Nothobranchius furzeri: one gene and its partner. The protein of the gene in region 2 purifies or fractionates together with the protein of the main gene of each other region. This does not show direct contact. Links are inferred from orthologs where the notes say so. Each region holds a gene or a part of one and is shown on either strand. Other genes may lie near its edges. The genes, in order: ksr1a and map2k2a.

Evidence for each region.
Region 1: the proteins of map2k2a (region 2) and ksr1a purify together in Homo sapiens (affinity purification with mass spectrometry; 4 studies listed by BioGRID and IntAct, with this or other methods). This does not show direct contact. The link is inferred for Nothobranchius furzeri from reciprocal best matches to the Homo sapiens genes MAP2K2 and KSR1.

The regions. Positions count from the first base shown.
Region 1 is NC_091750.1:49,805,484-49,809,298, reverse strand, and holds part of ksr1a (kinase suppressor of Ras 1), read left to right. Parts: intron 1-978; coding exon 979-1,040; intron 1,041-1,114; coding exon 1,115-1,224; intron 1,225-1,998; coding exon 1,999-2,167; intron 2,168-2,332; coding exon 2,333-2,374; intron 2,375-2,576; coding exon 2,577-2,625; intron 2,626-2,709; coding exon 2,710-2,779; intron 2,780-2,860; coding exon 2,861-3,127; intron 3,128-3,196; coding exon 3,197-3,393; intron 3,394-3,480; coding exon 3,481-3,577; intron 3,578-3,815.
Region 2 is NC_091748.1:51,292,565-51,297,119, reverse strand, and holds the start of map2k2a (dual specificity mitogen-activated protein kinase kinase 2a), read left to right. Parts: upstream 1-1,611; 5' UTR 1,612-1,836; coding exon 1,837-1,925; intron 1,926-2,150; coding exon 2,151-2,361; intron 2,362-3,181; coding exon 3,182-3,328; intron 3,329-4,136; coding exon 4,137-4,214; intron 4,215-4,555. UniProt on the Homo sapiens protein: Catalyzes the concomitant phosphorylation of a threonine and a tyrosine residue in a Thr-Glu-Tyr sequence located in MAP kinases. Activates the ERK1 and ERK2 MAP kinases.

The DNA of each region.
Region 1 (3,815 bases), on a different chromosome or scaffold from region 2:
GCATTACTGGTCAAATCTTGAATAAAGACCATAATCTATCCCACAAAGCCTTCAAAACGGCATCTAAATATAATGTACATACATCTAAATACATAATTCACTTCAGGTGGATACAGGTATAAAACTGAACCATGCTATGCCTGTGCAACGAAATGTGGTGTTTGATTTCTACGGCCAATAATAATAATAATAATAATAATAATAAAACTAAGAAGATCTAAAGAAACAGATGAAAACCAACTAGACTGGCTGGGATCAGAAAAACGGACTCAGTGTAGTTTTAATGGAGAAGTCTGTGATTGTTGGTGAATAAAATTAACTCTGCATCAGCCGAGGTTTTCTATTGGGTCACCTTTAATCTGTAAAACACTTCCAGTTACAGTCCTTGTGTGAAAAGCACTTTATAAATAAAGACTGATTGATTAGAAAGTTGTAGTTGAGTAGTTTTCCATCACATGACTCACTATATTTGGTAACAAGCTCTTTGCACCAGGATTTAACTAAATTAATTGTAGTACGTTACTGTTAGAGTTTTATTTGAGATTCCAGTGATTTATAAACCTTTTAATGAGACATTTTATAACGATGTTAACGTACTGTAATGCTAGAGGCTGCTCAGTTCAGCTCGGTGGTTTTTAACTAAAAACTCTTAATTTTGACAGATTTCTCTCTGATTTAGAACAATTAACTGCACCTGCGTGTTTTCACCAGAAACAATACCTACAATCTTACCTGAACGTAGCGGGTTAAGCGTCCAACATTAGTTGCTATGGTGACGCAGCCCCATAAGGAGTGGACCTGTTTGAAAACACTGAAAACCCTCAGTTGAACCCAGCGTTACCTCAGTAAGCCTCTAATCCTGGCCCATCGTACATGCTCCTGATGACGCCACTTAATCTTGATGCGACTCTGAGTGCTACCGGAGCTAACGGCTAAGTGCTACCAGGCTCCTCATGTGTTTCCTCCCTCTCTGTGCAGGTTAAAGTGCCATAATAAATGCACAAAGGAGGCTCCGTCCTGCAGAATCTCCTTTCTACCAAGTAGGTTTATATTTATTTACTTCTGGAGACGATGTGCACAAACATGGTGTGATCTTACTAATGTCTGTGTGTAGTTGCCAAAATCAGAAGAACAGAGTCCGTTCCCTCTGATATAAACAACCCTGTGGACCGACCACAAGAAGCACCGCAGTTTGGTACGCTACCAAAGGCCATCACAAAAAAGGTAAAAGTCCAACTTCAGCTTGTTTGTGAGGCTGAAAAATGATGTTGTTTGATTTATTTTTGGCTTTTCGAAGCTGTTTAAAACCATAAACTGTGTTTCTAGTTACAAACTAACCTGGCCAGCTATCCTATATATGTAAATATATAGTCTGGCCATGACCCATAGACAGACCTCCCTCGTGGAGCGTAATATACGAACCGTCTCCGCAGTGCTGGGACCGATCAAAGCATCAGACAACAGGAAGTATTCATTGCAATGGAAATCTGTAGCGATGGGACTCATGACTCTTTGAAGGGAGACGTTCATTCGAGAGCCGTTTACCTCAAAGGGCCGTCCCAAAGACTGGCTCTTTGGAACAAACTGAAGCGTTCTCTCGCCTCTACAAGAGCTTGGTTCTCATTGTTCACTTCAAAGAGCCGTTCGAAAGATTCGATTAGTTTGTGAATGTGACATAACTGGAAATCATTCAACGGGGCAGGCCGCCTACACCGTCAAAGACGTAGACAAAGACGAAGTAGCTCTATCGGCTCATGTATCAAAAACAAAAAAAGCCCAAGTCCAAAAGTCCAAAGTTGAGGCCATAGCCGTTCTTGAGCCGCCGCCAACATTGTTGTTTTGCTCCGTCACAGTTCTGCCATAATGACACTAAGCCCACCATCTCTCTACCAACGCAGCGCGCTGTGATTGGCCTGGTCTAAACTAAGCCGAGCCAATGGGAGACCTGCTTTTGTCTAGATTTCTAAGCTAGTAACAAACCGGCTCTGCTCTCGCCAGGATCACCCTCCTGTAATGAACCAGCTGGACTCCAGCAGCAATCCTTCCTCCACCACGTCCTCCACACCCTCCTCCCCAGCACCCTTCCAGCAGAGCAACCCCCCCAGTGCCACGCCACCGCCCAACCCTTCACCCAAAGGCCACAGAGACAGCCGCTTCAACTTCCCAGGTGAGTCTGTCGTCCACGACAGCGGACCTGTTTAGTGTTGAGGATGCCTCACAAGCACTTTGACCCTAATCTGTTCTTTCACTGCAGCCTTTTATTCAGCAGCTTGACTAACCAAACCTCTGTCTGCCTTGCTGATCTGTCCTCCTCCTCTTATTTGTCCAAAAGCTGCGTGTTACTTTCAGCATAGACAGCAGTTTATCTTCCCCGGTGAGTTGACCCTTCCAGAGTGACACGCTGAGTTCTTGTTGCTCCATCATAGCACCCTGCAGCTTTCCCATCTTCACGCATGAGTCCCGCGTCTCCTTACTGTGTTTTTGGCACCATCTGCTGGACGTAGTGAGAAGTTGCAGGAGGCTTTTATGTTCTGGATGTGTCATTGTTTCCTAAATGGTGTTTTCCTTTTCTCTAGACGTTTCCAGTCCTTCAAGTTTGTGCTCTGATGTCATCGAAGACACGGTGTAAGATTCTGATGCGGCAAAGTTTAAATCAAATGAGGAAATGTTTCGTTTGACCTGGTTTTTACCTCATTTCCTGTTTCCCAGCAGCGAGATGCAGCAGTGTGCAGATGACATTCATACCCAGCTGGTTGAAGATGAAGATGAGGATGAGGAGGTAATGAGTTCTAGGTCTAGAAGCGGCTCTGCTGTACCAGTGGTAGTGCAAGCTCTACAAACCTTCACGGCATGGTTGCAGGAAGGTGAGGAAGACGTCGAAGATGAAGACGATGATCAAGGAGACGAGGCAGAGGACGATGATGAAGGGGAGGATGAGGAGGAGAGGGAGCAGATGAGGATGAATGTGGGCTCGGATGGTGAGTGCGACGAGCTGGACGATCTTCCCTGCTCCAGGAGGAACCAGTGGAAGGGCCCCATCTCCCGTAAGCCCAGTCAGACCAGCGTCTACCTGCAGGAGTGGGACATTCCCTTTGAGCAGCTGGACCTCGGAGAGCTCATTGGAAAAGTGAGGAATTGGACAAATCTCAGCTTTGACACGCGAGGAGGCGCCGTTTCACACTTTTTCTGTTTTCAGGGTCGCTGGGGCAGAGTGCACAAGGGTCGGTGGCATGGCGAGGTCGCCATCAGACTGCTGGAGATTGACGGGAACAATCAGGACCATCTGAAGCTTTTTAAAAAGGAAGTGATGAACTACAGGCAGACCAGGCATGAGAATGTGGTCCTGTTCATGGGGGCCTGCATGGCCCCCCCGCACCTAGCCATCATTACCAGGTACAGGACGAACACCACCTTGGGCATTATTTAAACACAAATAACAGTTTTGGTCTATTTAACCTTTTTAAAATAATTTCCCCGCAGCTTCTGTAAAGGGAGGACGCTGTATTCAGTGGTACGGGACAGCAAGCACAATTTGGACATCAATAAAACACGACAAATCGCCCAGGAGATTGTAAAGGTATTTGGTTTTCTCATTTATCTCTACATGTCACTGATGCTCTAAGTCCACTCAGCTCAAATGCGGCCCATCACCCTGGTAGCTTTACGCTAGAGACCCGTCCACGTGTGGTCTGGGTTTGAACTTTTGATCACAAACACTTCCTGTTTTCTTGTTCTCTTCTTTTGAGTGGTTTTAAGTCTACTTGGGTTCATGGCACGTTAGCAAGCATGCACGCTAGCTCAGCTGGACATTCTGA
Region 2 (4,555 bases):
CTAAACTTCCAATAACCTTGTGGTTGGAGATGAGGTGGTTTGGGTTGCTGCTGTGGAACTGAGCCAGACACGTTTGGAGGTGAAACAGCTGAGAATCTGGTCTTTTAGTGGCATCTTCTCTTCTAATGATGCATAAGGTAGCACGGACAGAGGCTTATCCATGATGTACATGTTTTGTGTTGTTTTTTATGTTCATATAAAGACAATAAAATTTAAATAATATTTTATTAAGCCTTGAATTGCCTCCAGTTGTTCTTACAGGCAAATGGACATTAAGAAGCTGAGAGCAGCACCACTGGACTCTGATGTCTCTGAGGACTGGTTCAGGGGTGGATTGTCATGTCCTCTACCAAACGCTCAGATATCGGGACGCATTTTGATGCCTGTTGAGGATGAAACTGTAAAATTTGAAATGAACGTAATCTAACAGCTGTTATTGATGTGTTGAATTAAAACCGGTTCTTAAATATGCCTCTGGTCTTTAATTTTGGAATTTTTGTTCTTGAGTGACACGATTTAACGAGGGCAGATTCAGCCAATTATATCTCTGCCCTTTACAGGTGATCTCAATCAGATTAACAGTCAAAATAAATGTATTTTGTCAGCATTTGTAATTCCTGAACATTTCAAATTTTATACTTGGTGAGTAGTAGTGTAGTGGCATATTATGTTGATCTATCCAGACAGATATATAAAATTATGCACTATTGACAACTATCCAATTCCTCAGTCAGTTTTTAAGTCACTTCTCGGTCACATTGCAGTGTGATATTGAGATTTGATTCAACCAAATGCAGTTCAGTGCACAACAAGTGACTCAAAGAAATTACCCTAGCCAATTTAACGGGATTTTCTGTCACAGCAACGTGTCTTTTCTCTGTAATTTAAATGTATAGGATGCCAGTTTAGAAAAATGGTTGAACTGGAAAACTAGAATCATCAGAAGGAAAAAATGCCTACATGACCTACTATATTTTTGTTCGCTTCATTTGCGCAGGAATTGTGCCTGGTCGTCTTGATCGAGCCATAAAATGAAAAGTACAATTTGACTTCCCCTTGTGTCCAGTAGGGGGCAATAATGCACCTTTCCGCGTGGTTCGGAAACGACTGATGGAGAGTTTTATTTAAACAGTCATTGTTTCACGTAATTTAATTTAAAACTACACTAAAATCTTCTAACAATCTACAAATGTGCCCCAATTTACATCTTCACTTGTTCTCGCGTGAACTCGTCACTCTGTTTCTGTCTCGCGGTATTTAAGCAGAAGCAGCAGGGCTCTCCCCTGTGGGGTTTCTCACAGGCTGCTGCTTCCTGTAAGAAGGCACCAGCGGACAGCACCGCGGCTCTGGAGCGTTTCAGACCCTCTGCACACCTCTTAAAACACAAGGGGACAATTTAGACAAGTCCGCCGGCTCGGTCTATCCGAGCTGTTTGCCTTCTACGCACTTCGAGACGAGGACCGCTGCATATTTACGGCTGAGAGGCGCATATTTTCACTGGAGCTAGCAGTGGCTATGTGGCTAATGGCTAGTAGCAGCAGGTAGAAAACCCGACAAGGAGCTGAATACAGAACACCTGTCACTACACAATCCTATAGATGAACCGACAAAGCTATCCGACGTTTGAAGGGCACATCGGCATGCTGGGTTTTAGCAAACAAGCTAAGTGACATGCTCCAAAAAGTGTATAATCTCTGCTTACGGTAACTAGCCACTTAGAGCGGTTCCTGTTGCTTTTTCGAACGGACTCTCGAGCACGGGCGAGGTCGGATTAGCCCAGTTTACTCAAATCTAGTGTTTTACAGAGAGGGAGTTCTTAGTTTAGGGGATTTAGAAATGGCTCCTAAAAGAAGACCCGTGCCTCTCAACATTACGCCCATTGGGGAGGGACAGGCCACCTCTAACACCATTGATGCTGCATCAGAGTAAGTACCGACGGTAAACTGTCATTGTGTTTTGTTGGTGTGTTAATATACACGTTCTGTGTAAAAGTTTTTAAAGTAACACACAATCAGTGAACTGATTTCTGCTTGGTTGCCTAAAGCTGCTGTAGGACAGCTCCAGATGTCGGATAAGACCTGCACATCAGGATAAAAATAAAATTCCCTATTTTTTTTTATTCATCTTTAATGCTTGTCTTTTCTTATCAGAGCCAACCTGGAGGCTCTGCAGAAGAAGCTGGGTGAACTGGACCTCGATGAGCAGCAAAGAAAACGTCTAGAAGCTTTCCTCACCCAGAAAGCCCAGGTCGGGGAGCTGAAGGATGAAGATTTTGACCCGATTTGTGAGTTGGGTGCTGGAAACGGAGGAGTGGTCAACAAGGTTCGCCACAAACCCTCGGGTTTGGTCATGGCTCGAAAGGTGATCATCTGCCTTTGGGTGTTTCTCTGCAGCTGAAGTGGGACGATCGGAAGGAGATGAAGCCAGCGAGATTAGGCATGCCAGCGTTTTGCTTGTATGCTTTTGTGACATTTGCCTCTTAGCTTTGATGTGGTCGTTGTTTCGCTCCTTTTGGTGCTGCGTTTCTTTACCCGAGTAACATCGGAGTGCAGCCTTTCTTGGTTTTACAGTGCAGTTTTGAAACATCGCAACCCTCGTTTGCAGCTCTACACATGGTTGTGACCAGAGAATTCTAGTCCTTCACCAAAATTAAACTCCGTTTAACTCTGACATTAAATGTGAACATTTACATGGGAACCACTTATTTCATATAAATCCTCAGTGACACTTCTGTAAGAGGAGTGTTGGGAAAAATACAAAGGTCATGTGTGAGGGCATTTACTGGCAGTTCAAACACACAGATTTGTCATAACAGGTGGGTTTTTTGTTTTTGTATTTTTTTTAACCCTGTTTCTAGTTTATTGCAAGTCTTGACATTTTGCCTAACACAAAACCTAAACGGCCTTCCTAAACTAAAAAAAACTTCCAAACCTGCTGGAACAATCCAGTATATGTTTGCAGACCCTCTCAGAAATTCTGCAGCAACTCAAACTTGTCCATATGCGTGTGCAGACGTGTCCACTGATGTTTCCTCAAAGCGTTCAGAGATTGAATGATGTAACTTAAATGCATGTCTCTCATTGGTTGCTTTGAAGTGTGCATGCAGATTGTCCCACTTGTCATTTTGTCCCTGATCGATGCGTTTGTACGGAAATTGATGGTTTCACCATTTCCTTCTCAGTTAATCCACCTGGAGATCAAGCCTGCCATCAGAAACCAGATAATCCGAGAGCTGCAGGTGCTGCATGAATGCAACTCTCCCTACATCGTGGGCTTCTATGGAGCCTTTTACAGTGATGGAGAGATCAGCATCTGCATGGAGCACATGGTGAGAGAGACTGACTGTCTCTAAAGCTTTCTTCAGACATTAAGTATGAAACATTAATGGCTTCATTAACTTAATGGTGATTTTTAGATTTCCTTAGCGTCAAGAGTTTTTTTCATTGCTTCATACTATACCAGTGCAACAAATCCTGTTAATCTGCTAAGTGTAGCAAAGATTGCATCACTTTTCATCTTCTTTAAGCGTATTCTGTTTAAATTTCCTTCTGCATTTTAAATCAAATCAACAAACATGTTTTCCTTTTCTTCAGTATCTTATCAGTGCTGATTTTGAGATGATGCAACACTCACTACTGAGTTTTCACAACATATTTAGCAGTAAACATTCACATCAAGTTAACACTTCATGCTAAACTAACGGATAACAAACAGAAATGTTTTGCATTATTCATAAAAGTGGTCAAAGAGGTAAGAAGCTGCTCAGCTTTTGGCTCAATCGCTGTAAATTATAAAATGGTGTCGTGTCTAATCATCGTCTGGGGCTAATCATTAAGTGTAAAAGTTAAAGGTCTGTAATTTGGGCCGTGTTTTTGTTTACTTTTATTAATCATTTGTTAAATAGCCCACAGCTACTGTGCTTAACTGTTCTTTAGTGTGTGACTTCTGTTGTTCAGGTTTGGTTTGCTGAAAGGGATTTTGGACCAAACCAAATCTGACCCGTGTTTTCAGATCTGACACGGGCACATGCAGTCATGATGTGTTTAACAACAGGTGGCGCACACAGGAGCTGGGTTCTGTTGATGTGACTTGTTAATAAAGTTTAATCTTTATAAAGTAAACTTTTGTCTGTACAGGATGGTGGGTCTTTGGACCAGGTTCTCAAGGAAGCCAGAAGAATTCCTGAAGAAATACTTGGAAAAGTTAGCATAGCTGTGAGTTGACTTGTTTGTTCAGCTTTAATCTTTTCATCCATTGAATTTCGATAGCTGTTTTACTTTGGCGAGGTTTAGCTACACATTCTTGTGGTTTGTTGGTGTACAGTCTGCTTGTTGCTGCCTGCTCACTGTTCCTCGAGTCCTTTTCTAGTCTTGCTTGACTAGAGCTGTCCAGTCATGCTTTAGTAACACACGGTGGGATTCACAGTTCTTTCTGACTTTTAGCTCTTGCATTAATTTTAAATTTTACTAGTAGACTTGCTGCCCTATAGAACATCTTTTAAGAAGGCCTCCTGTGTTTGCTTGTAGACTCGTGTTAGTGAAATGTTTTTAATTGA